Lonchura striata: one gene and its partner. The protein of the gene in region 2 purifies or fractionates together with the protein of the main gene of each other region. This does not show direct contact. Links are inferred from orthologs where the notes say so. Each region holds a gene or a part of one and is shown on either strand. Other genes may lie near its edges.

Evidence for each region. The genes of interacting proteins can lie anywhere in the genome.
Region 1: the proteins of MCM5 (region 2) and SF3B1 purify together in Homo sapiens (affinity purification with mass spectrometry; 4 studies listed by BioGRID and IntAct, with this or other methods). This does not show direct contact. The link is inferred for Lonchura striata from reciprocal best matches to the Homo sapiens genes MCM5 and SF3B1.

What each region holds. Positions count from the first base shown.
Region 1 is NC_134610.1:28,285,461-28,295,404, reverse strand, and holds the start of SF3B1 (splicing factor 3B subunit 1), read right to left. Parts: upstream 3,881-9,944; 5' UTR 3,784-3,880; coding exon 3,756-3,783; intron 1-3,755. Other genes in the region: COQ10B (coenzyme Q-binding protein COQ10 homolog B, mitochondrial), read left to right, coding at 9,456-9,511. UniProt on the Homo sapiens protein: Component of the 17S U2 SnRNP complex of the spliceosome, a large ribonucleoprotein complex that removes introns from transcribed pre-mRNAs.
Region 2 is NC_134607.1:22,472,292-22,482,314, reverse strand, and holds the start of MCM5 (DNA replication licensing factor MCM5), read right to left. Parts: upstream 4,724-10,023; 5' UTR 4,635-4,723; intron 4,433-4,634; 5' UTR 4,417-4,432; coding exon 4,250-4,416; intron 3,385-4,249; coding exon 3,258-3,384; intron 3,161-3,257; coding exon 3,032-3,160; intron 2,759-3,031; coding exon 2,586-2,758; intron 1,302-2,585; coding exon 1,146-1,301; intron 1,058-1,145; coding exon 891-1,057; intron 313-890; coding exon 141-312; intron 39-140; coding exon 1-38. Other genes in the region: HMOX1 (heme oxygenase 1), read right to left, coding at 7,922-8,058, 9,391-9,502. UniProt on the Homo sapiens protein: Acts as a component of the MCM2-7 complex (MCM complex) which is the replicative helicase essential for 'once per cell cycle' DNA replication initiation and elongation in eukaryotic cells.

The sequences.
Region 1 (9,944 bases), on a different chromosome or scaffold from region 2:
GGGCTTCCACAGAACTTCTGCAGCTTTCTAGAGCAGAGTAACTTCACTCACCTCTGTGTTAGAGACTCATGATGCTTAAGCTCATGAGAAGCTGAAACCTCACAAAAGCCTTATACTGCTGGCCATGAGTACCCCCTGAATCTGGCCTGTGGCTACATCCTGCTCCCTGTAAAATCCTGCACAGCCCAGGGTATTCCTGTGAGTCCAGAACTTGGAATACATTGTTCTACAATGTGTTAGTTCCTGGAGAAGCAGCAGAAAGAAACTACTTCCAAATTACAGATCTTTCTCTTGCCCTCAGAGGCCTCTGCTTGCCTTCAGAGGTGCTTACAGCATCCTCCTAATGTATTCCACTTCTGTGGAATCATCCAATGTTATGGCTATAGAGTCAATGAAACTCCATTACCTTCTCCACATATTTTTTAGTTATTTCTGTTTCTCCTAGAGAGCAGATGAAGCTCCTGATTCCTTCTGCAGCCTGGTGCATTGCAGTACTGGGATGGAAGGGAATACCTGGAGCTTCCATCTCTACCAAGGACAACACCACCCGCACAGAGTGGGTGATGTGAGGGTACAACCCCACCGTTCCCCTGATTTCCAAAGGGCACTCAGTGGAACAACAAACACCCTGCCTCTTCAGTGGCACACTGAGGCCTGACTGAACATCCACAGCTGTAACCAACTTCAACATTAAAAAAGCCTATGGATCTTGTCTATAGGATCATCAAGCCTTTCCATCACCTGTTCACTGAACCAACCTCACCATACAGCTCCAGCACATAACACACCAACAGGTCCCCCCACTGCAGGACTGGCCAGACATTTGCTCCTGCTTGGCCTCCCACCTCTACTATCACCAACAGAGTTAAGTGAAACAGTGGGGGGATTCCTGCAGTGCAAGTGTCAATACAAAAATGTTTTCCTATTGATAGCTCTTACTAGCACTTAACAATGCCTTGTCCGCCAACATTATTTTTAAAACAGCTATATTTCATGAAGAGGGTGGATGTGTCACTCATTACTGGCCTTCTCTTTTAAATTACAGGGATTACAGCTGCTGCCGGGGCAAGGAGCATTCTCATTTTCCTACAGCAAAAACCTACTGGGTTATCTATAACAAAAAAACGAAGTCTATATAGGCTCAACAAACCTTACTGATAGCCACCCTAATTTTTTATTAATACCACACAGCCTCCAGGTGCCAGTTTAAATGAAGCACTCTACCCACAAGAGCCCTTGAACCAGGAGCCTGTGGCCACAGGTAGCCTGTGTTTGAAAAGCATCACATATTTAGGTGGAAAATGCTATTTTGACATTCAAAATGTGCCAGTTAGCTTCCTTGAGCTAACTGGCACTTCCTTGAAAAAGCTCACACCATACTTAACAAAGCTCTTTAATAAAAAGCAAATTAAGAAAGAGTGATCACAAAGCTTAAAGACACTGTGCAAAGCAAACTACTTGTTTGATGGCTTAGTCGAGCAGGACATAATGGAAACTTCACTCACAGAGAAACAGTAAAGGGAGTGGGATATAAGGGTGGAAAAAAGAGAGGAGGGGAATAATATTCTACTGATTGCTCCTTTTCTGTATTTTACTCTATGTATTTTGGTATTTTAGCAGAAGTAACTTCAACAAGCAGGTGATTTGAAACATACCATAAATGCTGAATATTATTACAGCTGAATATTATAACACTTTATTCAAAGTCACTGAACATCTAGCTCACAGAGAGGCTTCCTCTAAGTATGTGCTCTGATACCACGCATGTAGTTCTATTCTAAATGTTAAAAAAAAAAAGAAAGAAGACCCTGTGCTGGACAGGTATTTTAGAGTAAATAGGTTCTATGTTTTCATGTCTTATCATATTTTTGCACATTTAGCTTGCCCTTACATGGCTTTATTTTTAACTACTTTAGCACTCTTACGCATGTTAGATCTATTATGTTTGAAGATCTCTGTTCTCTTCTCAGCAAGGAAAAAAAATTAAAATAAATACGACCTTCAACAGCATTGAAAGCTCATGCACTTATTGAGGCATTATAAGCTGCCACCTGAAACTTCACTTTTCGGCCTCAAACACAGAGTCCCCCTTTAACTATGTAGCTGACATGAACTCCAGCTCTTTTGATGCTTCTTTCAAGCTGTATCTTGAACACATCAATTAAGAAATATTTAATAAACAGCACAAATATATTAAAAAAACTTTAGGATGATTTAGTAACAAACAACTCAATTCAAAAGATTAGTGAGGAACTGAAAAAAATAGGCTACCACCTGGAAGCAAAATAATCAAGCTGCTCAGCTAATGCCTCCATGCTGGGAAAGACCCTTAAGTGATCATACCCTGTTATGTCTATTTTTTATTTAACTACCCTCCCCCTTAAAACCTGTTCTGATACAACACTAATCAAAACACATGCAACTGAAAGCATGTCAATGTTTTCACTGAAGCCAATGCATCACCATTTGCTCCAAAAAATAAGCAATTTTAGCTTGGAAACAACCAGACCTCAACAACTGTACTATTTTATGACAAGAATCTCTTCAGGTAGTAGGAGAGGCAGAGCACTGTGATGGGTAAGGCTCACTTGGGTGCTATCACACACAACCCTTATGCATGTCACATTATATAAACAAAGGACAAGACAATTTCTGTAATTATATAAAAATACTCTAGAATTCTAAAAAATAATTGAAAGTAAGGACAACAGTTTAAGCTTTTCTTCGTCCTTAAAATCAGATTAGGTCTGTAGTGTTAAACACTACATTAATCTCACTTCCACGGGAGATGATGGCTTTCCACTTGAAAAGCTTTTTTCAGTAAAAGCTGAAAAAAAAATTAAAAAAATACTAAAAGACAATGAACGCCTAAGCGCCCTGCCTACCTCAGTGCACAACCACCATCCAGAGGCAGTTTCCAATTAGTGAATTATGCATATAAATTAAAACAAAACACAGCAGAACACCTATCGTACAGAGAAACACGAGAGAAAAACCCCGAAGCAAAAACAGAGAAGCAGTGTAATTCTACACATTATTCTCGGGTGCAAGCCGCAGCCGATGCCCACAAAGAGAGCTTTGATTCCCTCCGAGAAGAGCCGAGGCAGCAGCGCACGCAAGAGAAGGAGAAGCACACAGCGCCGGGACTGCCCTGAGCCGCTGGATCGCTCAGGGAGCCGCTGTCCTACGTCAACACCCGGCCGGCAGAAGTCTGTGCAAAATGGCAGCTCGAACGCTCCAGCCCTCACGATCCTTCCCGTCCTTCGGGGCACTCCTCTCAGCAAGCACGGCGGCGGCTCGGGCCGCGCCGCTTCCAGCGGGCAGCGCCCGTTCTGCGGCCGCCCCCGGCGCTGTTTGCCGAGGCCGAGGGGCTCGGCGGGGACCGAACGCGCGCTGTTGGCATTTCTGACGCGAAACTCGCAGCGGCACCGCGGGCCTTGCACAGCGCACCGGCCGAGCCTCGATGGGCGGAAGGAGGCGGCCATGGGGAGTTCAGCGACCGAGCTCCCCCGCACAGGCCTGGCCGCCGCTCCGGCCCACGCCAGCACAGCGAGAGCTCCCCCTCATGCCCGCCCCCCGCCCGGCCCGGCGCTGACGAGCGCAGCCGCCATTACACACATGCCCTGTATGTGTGCTCCTCCGCCCGAGGAGCCGCGCCTGACGCTGCCCGGAGCCGGGGAGAAACACAAGCAGCGGGCGATGTCCAAGCGCGGCGCGAGCGGGCGCGGACACGGGGCTTTCCGGGCTATTTTTACCTTCGTGGGTCTTGGCGATCTTCGCCATTTTGTGCAGCGCCAACGACGCCGAGGCGGAACTGGCGCGGCCCCGCCGCTTCCGCCACACGGGGCCGCCAGAACCGGCAGCGCGCAGGCGCGGCCGCCGTCCCGCGGGCCGGGGGCCAGGCCACGCCCACCGTCTGATGGACGGCGCGCCCAGCCAATGGCCGTGCGGAGAGAGGCGGGGCGCGCGCTGAGCCCGGCCCGCCGTGAGGGAACTTCCGGTGAGGGCGGGGCAAATGGAAGCGCCAAATATGGGGGCGGTTCCTGGAGACTTCCTTCCCACAGCCGCTGAGGCTGGGCCCCACGGGAATTTGGGTGCTCAGCTCTGTTTGCCAAATTGCCTGACGTGTGTTTCATCTGGTCAGGGTAACTGGCTCAGTGCCAACAGGCGGATCGCTAGATATCAGAAATAAAGCAGATATATATTTATTGCTACAAGATGGGGGTTAACCGGATTCAAGTCAGTTCAGTATTTTAGGAAGGGCTCGAAAGAGGGAAGGGTAGTTGTGTTTACGATATTGGCAGATGGCACCAAACTGGCAGGTGGAAGAAGGAATTGAGAATAATCTTACATTGATTCATACATGGAATAATCTAAGATCACAGAGGTAAGCTTCAACAACAAAAAGCAGAAATTACTCCAAATTGGAATTTTAAGTCACTATATGAATTTTAAGTGGAAAAAATAGTCAGAAACTGATGACATGGGAAATCAAAGCTATACGACTATCTGTAGCAATATGCTGCTGCAGTGGAATTAAGTCTTACTCCAGGCCATTAAAAATTGTGCCACATACAAAACCTGAAAAGCAATTTACTTAGCTCAGTCAAAGCCACTGATGGTGTCCAACAGAGACTTGGGCAAACTCAATATAGTCTAGAAGCGAGGAGGAACGATCAGATGTTTATGAACATGACCTAGTGTGGATGTAAACAAATTGTTCAGCTGTTCTGCAATAACTGACCTCACACCACTTCCACATTTCATTTGGGAATTACTAACTTTTTTCCCCAGATGATATATACACATTTCAGCATCCCTGTCTATTGTATACCTGATAACTAAATAGGATTGATTCTATCCACATGCAAAGCCTTGGGAACTCTCCCTTACAGTCAAGTGTTGTGAACAAGCTAGTTTTTTATTGTCTCAGCTTTTAATAGTAGTAAAATACCAAGGCTGGCTATGCAACCTAGGTTCAAAGTCCACGATTGCTTAATGATATTTCATAACACAGTGTAATATGTAAACTTCTAGAGATTATTTATTATCATGTGGCTTTATTGTACACCTGCTAAGTCCCTAATCTCCTCAAAAGCTTTTGCAACAAGTGATGTCAACTTGAGAACTTCCCATCAGGTAAAATGCATAAACTGTTTCTGAAAAGGGTGATAAATGCACGATGGCAAAACCCATATTGACTCTTCACTAATCACTCTGCTTATGCAAGCTGGTAGTTCACATTATGGCTTTTTGAGGGTTGTCTTAAAGAAAATAATGTGAAGCTCATGTTTTTGTGTTAATACATGTATTTGATTGACCAACTGATCTAAAGATCTGTCAGTCTGCTTTGTGTTGATTGGTTTGCAGGAGTTTGCTGAACAGTTCTGCTTTTAATAATTTACTAACTACATGTACTCAAATGTTAAGAGTGACTGTCACTTGAAGGTGCACAAAGTCTTCTGTTCTTTATTCTCAGCGTTATTAAACTCACATTCCACATTTCTAGAAAGATGCACTTGCACATACTCACAGGCTACAAAAGGAGATATTTACCAAGCTGCCCAGAGACATGTGACAGTAAGGTTGAGGCAAATTCCCTGCTGCAAGAATTTAATGCATGCAACTATTTTAAGTAAATGTCACATGCTCAGATTCACTGTGAAGATCAATTTGCAGTAACTTTCCCTCCTTTCTTCAGCCTGACTTCCAGTTTATGTTAAGCAGAACAATTACAATATTTCATTTCTTCTGTTATTAAGCAGACCTGAGCTAGGCATGAGGTCTCGAGGAACGCTTTAAAGTCATAATTCTGAAATGTGCCATTTCACACATAAAAGAGACTTATGTGTTGTGAGTGCTAACAGAAATTGTGCTGTGATGAAACAATGAGAAAACTGCCTTCTACTTGTGTCTCTTCCCTGCTTTTCCACCGAATTCTGTATGCTGCCCCAGGTTCTTTTTGGCTGCCTGTCAAATCCCTGAATATGTACTTTTGCCTCCTGAACATTAACTCCATCACACAGCTTCCACAGAATACGGACAGGGCTGTTACTTAGTGGTTTACCAGCCCTACTGAGTTCCCACCCCTTTCCCACACATGCAAGTGAACAGCGAGTTCACAGAGATTCCTGTATGCATTTGAAACGGATTTAAGAGCACTCAAGCTTTGCAGATCAGGAATCACACCTAAGGAACAGACCTCCAAGGTCCCACTTTATGTAAGATTCAGGTCCAATTTCACGGGCAGCTTAAGCTGTCACCAGCTGGCACTGCTGCTGGAAGAAATATCCAGACTCTTTGCCTGGCCTTGATTGACCCCATCTATTGTGCCAGCAGAACTTTCTGGCACTGTTTCACTCAAAGAAGGCAGGCTCTTGACTACATCCTTGTGCTACTTCTTCCAAAAGTAATTTTTTATTTGTATTAATTCCCCCCCACCACCCACCCATGCTGTAAAGAGCTGTAGAATGAGCTGACATTAGCAAAATGCTACAAACCTGGGCTAAACTCCTAATCCTTCATTCTGCCCAGGTCTGTGCTTAGCTTCACGTGCCAGGGACAGTTCACTGACAATCACGTGTCTGTTAAAGGGCAGAAATTCTTAAAACAAAGAGAGGAAATATTTAACTGTAGCAGCTGTGTTTCAACTCTGCACAAACTTCTCAAACAACATGAGCAAGAAAAAAATAGCACAAAATAAAATCTCTTCCAGTCGCATTTTTGTTTCTGATGTCAAGAAGAAATAATGTACAAAGTGACAATTTTTTTGTCACTGGAAAGCAATGAGTTAAAAAATACACATTGGAAGATAAGCTTTTTGGACAATTTTAAATGGGGGCTGCTTTGTGTTCTGCAGGATGTGCATAACCTGAACACAAACCATTTGTGTCACTGCTGGTAAGGGGGGCCTGAGGAACATAAATCAAAGATGGGATGGGACTGTCATCTGTGCTGCCACAGTCCTGTGGGCTCTCCTGAGGGAGTCTGAGGGTGTTTTTGTAGATTTTCTGCCAAGAGGAAGCAGGCTCCAGGCCCTGTGTCCCAGCTAACGCTGTCCCAGGGCTGGCAGGGCCAGGGGGGTTGGGTAAGGGCTGCTGCAGACACAGCCCTCCCCACGCAGCAATCCTCCCCCAGCCTGCCCGAGCTGCGCCCGGGGCTGCATGCTTTGGTGCAGATCATGTTCTTCCTGAGCAGTTTAATAAATACAGACAGTACTATTTTGGAACTGGGACAGAGTAAGAACAGAGTAGCTGGATTTCAAAACCGTCTGTGAGCAAATATGCATTGAGATTTAAACCTTTTTTGGATTTTTTTGGTCCACTGAAACCTTATGAAGATCAAACAAGTTTAATCCTTTACACAACATGTTCACAGCCAAATACTTCAATTATTACTAACACCAAGTTCACTGGCACTATATAAAATATAAGAAAATTTATGTGATTTTATATCCTGATGAATCATCTATGTTTGTAGATAATTTTTCCCAGCCTACATGTATATATTTTGAGATCTTTCAAAGGCAAATATTATTCAAAACTCATTTGTAAACAGGAACACAGTTACTATATTTTTGCTTTCCTCAGCATATCTCTGGCTACCTAAGGAACACACTAAACCAGCTGCTCTTTTCACTTATCTGTAGGAATAGAGCTTTTTTTTACATGGGGATATGCTCTCCTCCTTGTCAAAGATTGACTCTTTCCCCTCTGAAAGGTGTCCTTAAAATTATTGTTTTTAATAGTATAAACCTCATAGTTAGAATGTAAACCTAACCTTCTAATGATAGTAGTATTATAAAAAATAACATTTAGAAAAAAACAACCTCTGTGGTCCTACAGTACATCCCTTTCTAGTGTATCAGAAATCTTGCATCCCTCTGGTGTTAAGGATTAATTTGGACCACTCTTCCAGTCAGAGTTAGTAAACACAGCACTCTCTTCCAGCAACAGGTATCAAGCAAGGTTTAAGAACTTTAATCTTGAGCCTACCAAGAGAAAACAAAAAAGGCAAAAACTCCTCAAAGTGCCTTAAACATCCATCACCTTGAACTACTCGATGCCTGACTCTTCAATTATTCTAAACACCTAAAAACATCAGTCTTTGTGAGAGGCATTTCCTGATCCACTAGGATTCACTGAGCAAGCTAGAATGACAGACACAGAATCCAGCAAATAATAGCAGCACTCGTGGAAGTTGCAAAACACAGATGAGGTTAGTAATAAGGGTTAGAGGAAGGGAGGACAGCATAGGACTGGGGCTTTGTTTGCATTTCTGTCTTTGCAGTTTGTTTTTCACCTGCACTGGAGAACCTGGGTTTTTACTGATTTCTGTTTTTCATCAAAGTAATAGAGATATGCTGCAGGACAGCTTATCTGAAAAACACCATACCCTGAGGTGGTAAAGCAAAAGTTGCTCCATTGAGTCTCTGTCATCCAAATTGGTGGTGTGCTTATTTAATGAGTGGTTTTGCTAATGGCAAGGACGCTGGGATAATTAAAAGGACGTTTTCTGAAGAGGATGTGTTGTAGGTTTATATAATTGAACTGTTATTTTTGTCCAGAAATCTCACTTCTTAATGCATTCAGCATTCAACAGCTTCAACTAAAATTGCTTCATTTACATTGTAAATAGGTGGGAATGGGTTCCTCCCGTAGTTGAAGGGACACTGCTGGCAGTGTATCCAGGCTGGTTTTCTAGTGCATACAGCCCAGACACAACTCAAGTTCAGGACGTGAAAATACCAATCTTAGTTCAAGATTCCCAGTCAAGACTATATCTGGTACTAAAGTTAAAAAAAGCCAACCCAAACTATTTTATGGAAATAGATTTTGCAGTCTTACCTTTTAACAGTTTCTGCGTTACACAAAATATGAAAGGTGTGATGAATTACATTTAAACAGTAGGTCTCCAATCGCAGAGTAATTGTAAAACACGCTTTCCTTGAGAGAGCCTGTATTTGAAAGGTACATTACGAGAAAGCGTTAATTAACGATTTCTTTGTCTCAAGTTGTGACCAAAGGGTGCTCTGTGATCACAAACAGGTCTGTGGCCGTACTGCTAAGCTGCTGCTGACTGTAACCCTGAGCAGGCACCGAGCAGAGGCGGGACGAGCACCGGCGACTCCTCCCGCGGACCCGCCGGGTCGGGCGCTCTGCGGGGGACGGACACGGGGACGGACACGCGGACGGACACGCGGACGGACACGCGGACGGACACGGGGACGGACACGCGGACGGACACGGGGACGGACACGCGGACGGACACGGGGCCGAGGCCGCTCCCGCCGCTCGGTGGGGGCGCCCGCCGCGCTCCAGCCCAATTATGGCCCCGCGCGGGGCTCGCGCGCCGCCGGGCCAATCAGGCGGAGCGGCGCGGCCGCGCGCGCTGTCCCGTGACCGCGCGCCCCGCGCCGCGACGGGGGCGGCAGCGGCGGCGGCAGCGCGGCCGGGATGGCGCGGAGCGGCGCGGCTCTCGGCAGGGCGCTGGCCGGAGCGGCCGCCGCCAGGTACGCGGGGCGAGGCGCGGATACCGCGGGCGTGACGGAGAGGTGCCGGGTTCCCGGTTAGAAACTCGCCTCCTCTTTGCCCGAGACAGTGGCAGAGTTGTGAGCGATCCGTCAAAGAACGGAGGAAGCGCCCGGATGTTTTCCCCTTCAGATAACGCAACAAGTTCCTCCTCACCTGAGCATATGTAAGGCTGGCTGCAACAGCTTGAGAAAAACAGTATGCTTTGGTGAAGAGTTAACCTTTCAACTGAAAGAAAAAAGAGCAAGCAGATCACAGAGTGCGATTTGAAAATCTTAGTATAAAAGGTTCACCTGTACTGTTTTGGCAGTGCTGCTGTGTTTCTTTATCAAACTGTCATGATGTCAAATTTCATGCAGACATTTGACAAAACTGTAAATTGCAGTGGTAAAATGTAACACTGGACCACATTTT
Region 2 (10,023 bases):
AGTTGATGTCCCCTCTGCGGGTCAGGCCATCCGGGAGCCTGGAGTGATGGGGTTGGGAAGAAGAGAGGGAGCAGAGCTGGTGAGCCTTTATTTTGATAACAAAGCAGTGACTTTGCTAACAAAGGCTGACTCTTCCCCACCTCTTGCGGGAGCCTCCAAACAAGAGGCAGGCGATGGCCTTCTTGATGTCAGTGCTGCCATAGATGGAGGGCGCAATGCTCTTGGCAATGGTCTCGTAGATGTTGGGCATGGCAGCAAGGCGACGAAGTTCCTCCTCCTCCTGAGGGGTCACCGAGCCACTGAAGTTATGTCCTGTACAGGGGTGAGGGGAGTGATGCAATAGTGAACAAATGGAGGTTTTGAAGGAAATTGTATCGCACTACAACCAAAATCCCCTCTTGAAAATCATGCCAAGTGCCACCAGGTGGGAAGGGTGGAGAGGGCAAGCATCTGCTAAGCCAGCAATGCAGGCTGTGTCCTTAGAGGCTAATCATAAAAAGTAAGTATCTTGGGCAAAGCAGCTCTGCTGGACCCAGAGGGAGAATTACAGTCAGGACCATGTTTTACATACAATCTTAACCATGGACTTCAGCCAGGATCCTCAGGGATGGCTTAGCAGATTCTTGCTTAAACACCCTGGAGGACTCAGGCTGAGACCTCCTCATCTAATATGAGAAAAAGCCTTACAGGATATGACCATAGAGAGCCCAGGGCAAGTCAGACCCCAGAATGGCTTGAACCCTCTTTTCCATAGACAGCAGAGAAGGATGAAGGCTGTGATTTCACACACTTCTTGCTGAGGGATCACTTTGTTCAGGAACAGTGTGGGGAGTGTCTCCCAACACCAGGCTACCAGCACAGACCAAATGCACCCCAAAAGCAGCCCTCACCTGAGCCCTCTGTGTCCACCTGGATGCCCACCACGCGGATGTAAGCGCTCCGGATGCCCACGCCCACACTGTAGCGGCTTTTGTTCTTGCTCTGCGCAGATTTCTTGATGGAGTAGATCCCCATGATAGTGACTCTGTTCCCTGGGACAACTTTGTCACACAGGTACCTAAGAGGAGACAGGGGAAAGCAGAGGATGGTGGTGGGAAATGATGGCAACAGCCAGTGGGGGCAGGGTGGGAAGGCTGTGCCAGTACCTGTCACAGTAGAGCTGCAAGTGCCGGGGCATCTCCCCGTGTGGCACGGCATCTGGAGACTCCTGCAGTTTCAGGACCTGGAAATCCACGCACTTGCACTTATCTGGCATGATAAAATACGGGTCCAGAGGGCACTTTGGGCGGCCAGCTTGTTCTCTGTGCAGAGAGATGGATCAGGGGAGGCTGTTAGCACTGAGGAGCCAGCCCTTGGAGCCAGCCCTTGGAGGCACCTGTGCAGGGGACAGCAGTGACAGCAAGGGGCAGCTGCCCCTTCCAAGCAGTGCCACATTAGCAGGTAAGGGCAGACACATGGGGCCAGACCAAAGGCCAGCAAGGCCTCTGTCTTGTCTTCTGCAAGTGCCAAACGTGCACATAAGAACAAGCCAGAGGCAGGGTGACACTTGTCTGAACACTCTCCCTGCCTCCCACCCCTCCCCTGCTAGCTACAAGCAGGGAAGGTAATTCATTAATTACACAGAAGGTAGCAGCACACACTCACTGACACAGCAGGGCGTTTTTCTTTACAACCTCATGCATGAGGCAAATGTTAAGTGGTTTCTGGTGAGAAAGCAATTAGCAATGTGACAAGGCTGACATCCACCTCCCAGTCTCTCAAGCCACATCTGCCTAGCTAGATTACAAGCTCTCTGAGACAAAGAGAAGCTCCATATCCTGCTGCTGTCTCAGAGTGGCACGACTGATGCCTGACTCCATGCAGGGCTTTCAGGCAGGACAACACCAGAGAGCAGATGCACTCATACAGTCAGGGATCAGGAGCAAGGTGCTGCACAGACCACACACAAGAATGACTCCCTAGCCCAAACCCCTCTCAAGCTGCATTAGAGTTCAGGTGCAGAAAATAAATACTGGCAGGTATGAGCCCAAAGACACAACCCACCAGGACTGGCTGCCTTGAGAGCTGCAGCACAATGGCAGTCTAATGCACACAGTGCTCAGAGGCACCAGGAACTGTAAAGCAGGATAAAAAGACTAGCAGAAAAGCACCCCTAAGTAAGGTAACACAAAACATGCTTTTCAGGAGTGGGAATGTAGAAGCAAGGAGTTTGTTTGGAAAAGAGGAGAACAACTTAACACAGCATTATGAGACAGCTGGAGGCAGGCATGAACCTTTAGGTACAAGAGAAACTCCCTATGAATAAAAAGGACTCCCTGGACATGGTCACTCAGCACTGCACGCAGCACTGACCGTGCAGGGTCACAACCAGCATGACCACAGAGGGACAGCCAGAACTTGCCAGCCAAAACTGCACAGTGGCACAGGGGCAGCACAAAGGGTGGAGGCAGAGCAGCGCAGGTGCTGCTGCCTTGTGGAAAGGGAGCAGATTCTGCAATGCATGGGATGCAGCAGGAGCAGGAAGAGGGGAATGCAGTCTTTTCTCGCCCTCCAGCCAGCTGGTGCATGCCCTTGTCAGTCCTTACGTGTTGCATTTCCTGGGCAGAGCGTAGCCCTCCAGGCCCGGGCGCACCGCGATGTTGCTGATGGTGTTGCGGCAGCTGCGGCACTGGATGGTGATTCTGGTGGCTTTGGCTCTCACGGGGGTTGCTGCAATTACAATCCCAGGGATCTTCACAAGGTGGGACATCTGGTCAGACTGAAAAGGGACAGGCGAAGGGAAGGTGAGAAAGCATCACTGGAAGATGGATGGGAAACTACAAAGCATGAGAGCAAAGGACAAAATACTCTGTGCAAAGCACCACTAACAGAACAATGTCCCTACAGCAGGAACCAGCAATAACAGCCCTCTGCAGTCAGATCTGAGCTGCAGAGTAACGCTGCTTGTACATTAGCAAGTGACCCATGTCCTGAGCCATGTGACCAGGTCCTGAAAGCTCCCCTGCAATCAAACCCACACACTTCACCTCACCTTCAGGCTGCGGATGTTGGCTGCGTTGGCATCTGACCTCAGCATCACCTGGATGTCCTGGAGAGTCTCCTCTCCAGAGGGGCGAGGACGAGTGACCTCATCGGCAACTTCTTTTGCTGCTTCTTCCAACTAGAGAATGAACAATGGGCTATCAGTGGGTCTGTTACAGCAGAACATCAGAGATGCTCTTGTGCCAATATTCTAGGTTTCCAACATCCATCCTTACCAGCTGCAGGTGCTCTGATGGTTGCTTGTACAGATAGTCTGCGAGATCTTCATCAAAGCTGGCCAAGTCTTCCATCTCCACCTCCACCCAGTACTGCCCCAGGTTGTAGTGCCGCTTGAGCTCATCCCTGGAAGGCAGGAAGCAGCAAAGGTTTGCAGGGCAGAAAGCACCAGTCATCCACAGTGGCCTTAGCACAAGCAGGGATCAGAAAAGGCAGCTTCTGCAGGGAGTCCTTCATTTGGAAAGCAAGCAGGGAAAATTAGGGGAGTTCCAGAAGTGCAGGGGAACCTGGGCAATCTTTCACCCAAGCCCACCTGGAAAAGTGACATAAGACCAGGGACACCAGTGCTTCAGTGGCAATGTAAAGTATTTGCTGGAGTTACATGACCAGATAAACAAGGAGGAAATTTCTATGTAGGATAATAACTACTATACATAAGATGTGGTTTAAAACAAAGGATATAATGACAGGACAACATTTTTCTTTAAAATGCCAGGATAAATGAAATTCAGAAGTGAAAGACTGTTATAGCCCTTGATTATGATGCATCTCCATGTTTTCTCAATGCTGGGTCTCCAAGCTGCATAGGCAAAGAATGGCTAAAGGAACTTCATACTCTTGGAAGGCACACGTGGAGAGCAGTGCACTGATTTAATGGACACAGACAATTCTCCAGACCAGAAAGCACTACAACTCCAAAGACAGACCTTGAATCTCAGAATTAAGTGCAAACCTGGCAGTGTGGATCCCTCTATTACTACCTTTTCCACTGGCTGGCTGCCTAAAAATCTGTGTGAACACCAGACTTCTGCTTTTCTATCAGGTTAAATACAAACATCTCTTAATGCTGAACTTTTTATGGCCCACGAGAAGAGACTAAATGGCTGTTACGTATGTGAGGTGTACACTGCAGGAGGGAGGTTAACAGCAGACTGGAGATGCAGGTGGGGATGGGCAAGGCTCAGAAGGAGAAAAGGGGCCACAGCAGCACCTGTATTTGAAAGTGAAGCCCGTCCGGTCCGTGCCCACCCGGTACTGCCGCAGGAACTCCTTGAACCGCTTCTGCAGCTGCGACTTCCGAACCTGCCCCTCATCCACGGGCGCGTCTCCCCCAAAACTGTCGCTGTAGTAAATGCCGGGGTCGTCGAAGCCGGACATCGCGGCTGCTGCTCCGCTGCGGGCCGAGAGCGCTGGGTCAGCGCCAGCCGCCTCCTTCCCCCGCCGCGCACCCAAGGCCCCGCGGGACCGCCCCTCGCCGCACCCCACGCACGGGCCGCGCTCTTCCCCCGCACTGCCCCAGGGATACCCCGACCCCGATCCCTGTCCCGGTCCCGGTCCCGGTCCCGGTCCCGGTCCCGACCCCCGCCGCTCCGCACCTCTATCCCCGCCGGAACTCGCTCCCAACTTTTTCGCGGCAAAAGCGGCGCGCGGCGGAAACCAAACCGCCGCAGGGCGCGCGCTGCCTCCGCCGCCGCGCGCTCTGATTGGCCCGCCTGCCAGGCGCCGCCGCCGATTGGGCCGCAGCCGCCCTCCCGCCCCGCCCCCAGAGGGAGCGCGCGGCGCCGCTGCCGCCGCTGATTGGCCGGAGCGCTCCGCCCCCGCCCGCCCCCAGCGGTGTGGCGCGAAATCTGGGAGCGAAGGGCGGGGGGAGGCGAAATGGCGGGCGGGCCGCACCATTGCGGCGGGGCGCGGAGGGGGAGCGGGTGATACCATCGCGGGAATGAAGTGAATTAATTAGTGCTGGAGGCTGGGCCCCCTCACTGCTTCAGGGCCTCAGGACACGATGCTGTTATAAATGAAAATTTGTCCAGCCAAATTAATATGAAAAATAAAATATTTATTTTGCAATCAAATTCTATCTACCCAGCCACAAGGAAAGCACAGAGCCGACCCTGGGGTCGGCCCTGGGTGTGCCACAAGGAGTCAGCCTCAGCAGAGGTTTTCCTCCATGCCCACACACCTCCATCCTGGCACAAGTGGTTTTTATAGGGAAAATTCCGCCTGACGCCAACATTTGGGCAGTCAGTCTTTTCTTCCATTCAAAGTCCATAGGTTAATAAGACTTTCTTTTTTTGGTGATGAGGGGAAACAATTCAGTGTCAGGAGTTGGTGAATCCCTTGATGGAATTTACGGAACGCTGCATTCACATGTATCTGCCCGAGGATTTCCGTGATATCCATCTCGGGTCGTTCAGGCGACGATCAGCGCCTGGGGTCCCCCATATCTCTCCAGACATGGCCCATCTCCTGGCCGAGCCACGTCCTTTAATGTGTGTAAATCAGGTTTCAACATATACCAGGTTTGGGGGGGAGTCCTAATACAAACGTGTATACTCCAACAAACATTCAATATCACATATATTATACTAGAAATGGCGCGAATTATACCTACTAGACATAACAATGCCTTCCTCCTGGCTATTTGTGAATTTAGGGGGAAGGCTGGCAGGTCGCTGGTGTGCATTTTGGCCCTCCCAAAGCATGGCAATGCACGCCCTAAGTAAGCTGAGAAGCACAGTGCATGGCAAGGGAGGTTTCGTGCAGCCCGTGGGAAATAAGGAGGGTGTCCTTGCTGCAGAGAAACCAGATGAACTCATAAAGATCACAGATGAGTACAAACAAAGCCTTAGTCTCCATTTCTGCGGACTTGAGGCTCAATCTGGAATGTACTATGTGTGACAACAATGGCTGTGAGATACCCAAAGTGCCATCTCTCTCCTGCCATGAGCAGGGAGGGTATGATACCAATCAGAACCCATATTCTCCAACTTTGAGGTCACAGTCGGGCTCTCTGAGGAGTGGAGAGGGGCTGAGTGTGGTGCAGTGCGTTTCTGAGCTCATGGGCATTATCTCTTTGGGATCTTAGATTAATGAGCATGTTTGAATAACAAAATGGTTTAGTTGGGGTGTTTTAGAGGGACTCAATAGAACTTAATTCAAATCTGAATTAGCAAGTTCTTGTCTATAAATAGCTATCAATCCTCATATTCCTGCTTTTCGAACACCCAACTATCTTTTTCAAGAATTAGCTATTTTTTCTGGCAGGCGGATCCAAAGAAAGAACTATTAAAGGAGGTCGGGGAAGGGATGCAGAGTTGAAAAGATCCTGAGAATGATGACAGTCCTGTTTTCCCACTGCTCATTCTCAGCAGGACCTGCCTTCTGATTCATGTTCTTTGAGCAGGTTCAGTGCTGGTCATTAAAACAGATCAGTAGGAACATATCTTTGGGATTAAGGTCACAGCCAGAACTGTGATCACAGAGGCTTTCTGGAATAAAGAGAGAACTCTGAGGTGATAGCACAGCAATTTTGTCAGTACCTGCAGTGCCATATCTGAACTGCAGCCCCTCCTGTGTTGGGAAAGCTCCTGGAGCAGGCAGGGCCTGCGGCTGGGCACAAACCCAGCCCTCCAGATGTGCCTCAGCAAAAGGCAAGGAAAGCAAACTGTGTGCATGGGCTGCTCCGGCAGTGCTGTGTGTTTGGAGTGCCTTTAGCAATGCCACATGTGTGCCAGGTCCTGGGAGTGGGGGTTGGTTTGCCACTTGGGTGAAGGCAGTGGTTGTGTGCTTGATGCCTCCCATTCAGCCACCTCGACCAAAACCTAGGATGCCTTTAACTTTTGGGTGGTGAAAACACACTTGGCAATTCTGATTCATGCTGAAGATCTTGCAAAGGCAGCCTGGCAATGCAGCCTTTGCTGGCAGTTCAGGGAGAGCTTCCTGGGTTTGACCAACTGAGGGTCCCATCACCTTTTTCTTGTGATAGAATAGCAATCAGCTCTTATGTACCACTTCCACCCTTAAAAATACTTTGCACACTCACTGAATTTCATGCTGCTTCTAGAAACAGAGAGCAGTATGTAGAGGCTGAAGGAACCTGCCCTAGTTTATAGAAGGTTATTGTTAACACTGCGTGGGAACAGTCTGGCTCTGGTGATAGCTCCCACTTCTGTCTATTGTCATGTCTGTGCAGCAGCAGCTCCAAAAGACATAAAGTCAGGAGGAAGAAAGACACCTCCTTCTCCCCTGGGTAAGGCTTTAATAATAGGAAACACCAGGCCTGAAGACTTCACATTGAAATTTATTATGTGTATAAATTATACAACCAGACAAGAATGACACTGTATGTCCAACAACTGTCTTTTGTTTTTCAAAGACCAAAAATAATGGGAAAAAGAAGTAACAAAGACCTACTAGTGTCATGTAAAGCTGTCTGTAACCCATGGGAGCCACGTGGCTCCACAGAGAAAATGATCACAGTATTATTTAGCAGTATAAAAAAACTGAGCAAACAGAGCTCCAAGGAGCTCCATCTTTCTGAGGAAGACAGAAGTCAAAGCTGTGTTTCTGATCCCATAGGGCTTTTGTAGGCACTCTGTAAAGCAATGACAATTCTTGGCCATTGTTTTTAGCCTTTTCCACCCTTGGTTTTTGGTGATAAAATTATCACCTTTCTGAGAAGAGCTCACACCAAGCACAGGAGAAACTTTGCCTGAACCCCTTACAGCACTCTTTGATTTCTGGGGAGAAAAGTCTCCTAGTATTAGTGGCAGAACCAAGATCACAGTACCCAGTCAGGGGTAATTTCTCTCCCAAGGACTGGGGAAGGTGGATTAGTTCAGGGTGAGGGAAGTCACAAAGAGAAGGTGAAGGTCCTGCTTTTTCACATGGCAAACAAGCCCACGGCGACCGTCATGGCGAGGAAGCTGAGTGCCACAATCCACCGCACCAGGGAAGTGGTGGGTGTTGTGTCTGTGTTTCTCATCTTTGTCCTCTCACCCTCCTTCCCAGCTGCTGGACCTAGATCAAACAGGGATAAAAAGCAAATTAAGACAAGTGAGAAGAGGTTGTGGCAAGAAGATGCTAACGTGCAGTGTTTGCTCTCCCCAGTGCCCCAGCACACCCTGCTGGAGTTGTCCAGGGAAGAAGGAGAAAGCCCAGAGCCCAGCTGGGGGAAGCAGTGGCAGCAGGTTCTGCTCTCCCAGTGGAGAGGGGAAGCAGCAGACTTGACCTGGGAATCACAAAGGCCCACAGCTCCTCTGCATGTAGGTGATTACCAGTCTCCTCCCTTGTCTCCTTACAGGCTTACACCTGCACTGCCCAGCTCCATTAAACCCCTCATGTGTGCAGAAGACAGATAAATGCTGAAGATAGAATTTTAAAAGGCATTTTGTCTCCTACTTCTCACTGATTTAACTTTAGGCATCTAAAGACCTTGAACAGTCTTCAGCACTCCAAGCAATTTTTGTAGTACAACTTCAGGATGGGATTCCTCATCCAACACCAAATTTTTCTGAAAATCTTACTTGTATGCTTGTATTGGGAAAAGAATGGCAATGTTTCACAGAGAACTTTTAATGCCTTTCCCACAGAAGCTGCTTTAAGCTTCACTATCCAGGGGTTCTTAAGGCAAGGTTTGCTTTTCATCTTTGCCATGGAAAAACTGTGGGTCAATCCAGGATGCACTGAAAACAAATTACCGTTTTAGTTTCAGAATGAGTAGGCCATAAGGGGTTTTTTATTTGAATTGCATGTCCTCATGGAACCACTCTGCTCTGTAAACATCTGACCTCGCTCCTCACTCAGGTACAAGCCTGATTACATTCCACCATTCAGAGCAGTGCTCACTTTAAACCCAGCACATCCTCTGAGAGTTTTCAGCAAATACTTCTGGGAGGCAGGAAAAATGATCAGAGGGAGATCCAAAAGGACAGGCTGCTGGATAGGACTGTGTCCAGAGACCCTTCTGTCAGCATCACAGCACCATGGCTGATCTGCAGCACCCAAAATTAACGCCTTTGCTTCCATGAACTCAAGGTCAGTTTTCCCTGTGGTGAATGAACCTTACATTTGTTAAAGCTCTAGAGGTGGAGAGAGGAGTCTCTTTTTGTAAAGCTTCCTCACTGACACACTTTCTGAAGAGCCCACATGTGTTATCCTTGCTCTGCCATGTCTAGAAGAAATTTTGCACACAGCAGTGCCTCTCCTTGCACTACCTGCTGATGGCTGGAGAAGAGATGGGGCAAGCACCTCATGCTTGTTTCCCAATGGCTTTTACAAACAAGGACAGAAGAGGGGAGGAGAAGGAAAGGAAGGAGCACTGTGAAGCACCTGCCCTTAGAAGTGTCTTACCATGCTCATGTGATTTGTTGATGTTCCTCGTGCGAAGCAGCTCTGCTTTTGGCTGCACAGGGTGACCATTCTCCTGGCCCTTGGACACCAGCTCCTGCAGTGCCTCAAACACCTTAGAAGAAAGAACACTGTCTCATTATGTGGTCTCCTCTTGTTCTTTCACTGGACCACCTGTCCCTTCCTCAGGCACTTAGGAACTAGAGGAAGACATGGGGGTTCAGTCTAAGTCTCCTGGCACATTTTGCTTAGAACAGAAGTTGCCTGTGAGGTCAAGAGGATGTCTTTCAAACTCCTTGTTCTCTTTACAGGTTCTCCCCAAAGCTTTCAACTAAGGAGAAGACTACTTCCCACCTTTTGATGGGAAGGAAAGCAAGGTACCTGTCACCTAGTCAGAGTGCACAGCAGACCTGTGTAACTTCACCACAGAGGCAGGACAGATACTATGTGGTAATCCCCACTCCCAGTATTAACCCTCATTCATATCTGGATAGTGGCACATGGAAGAGACTGGATTCAAAAACTAAGGGAGGGAGAAGAGCTTTTCAGAGGCTATTGTTTTATTCAGCTGGCAGGTTGGAGAAGCACAGCCATCCAACTCTGACCAGCTCGCCCTGATCCACAACTTCTCATAAG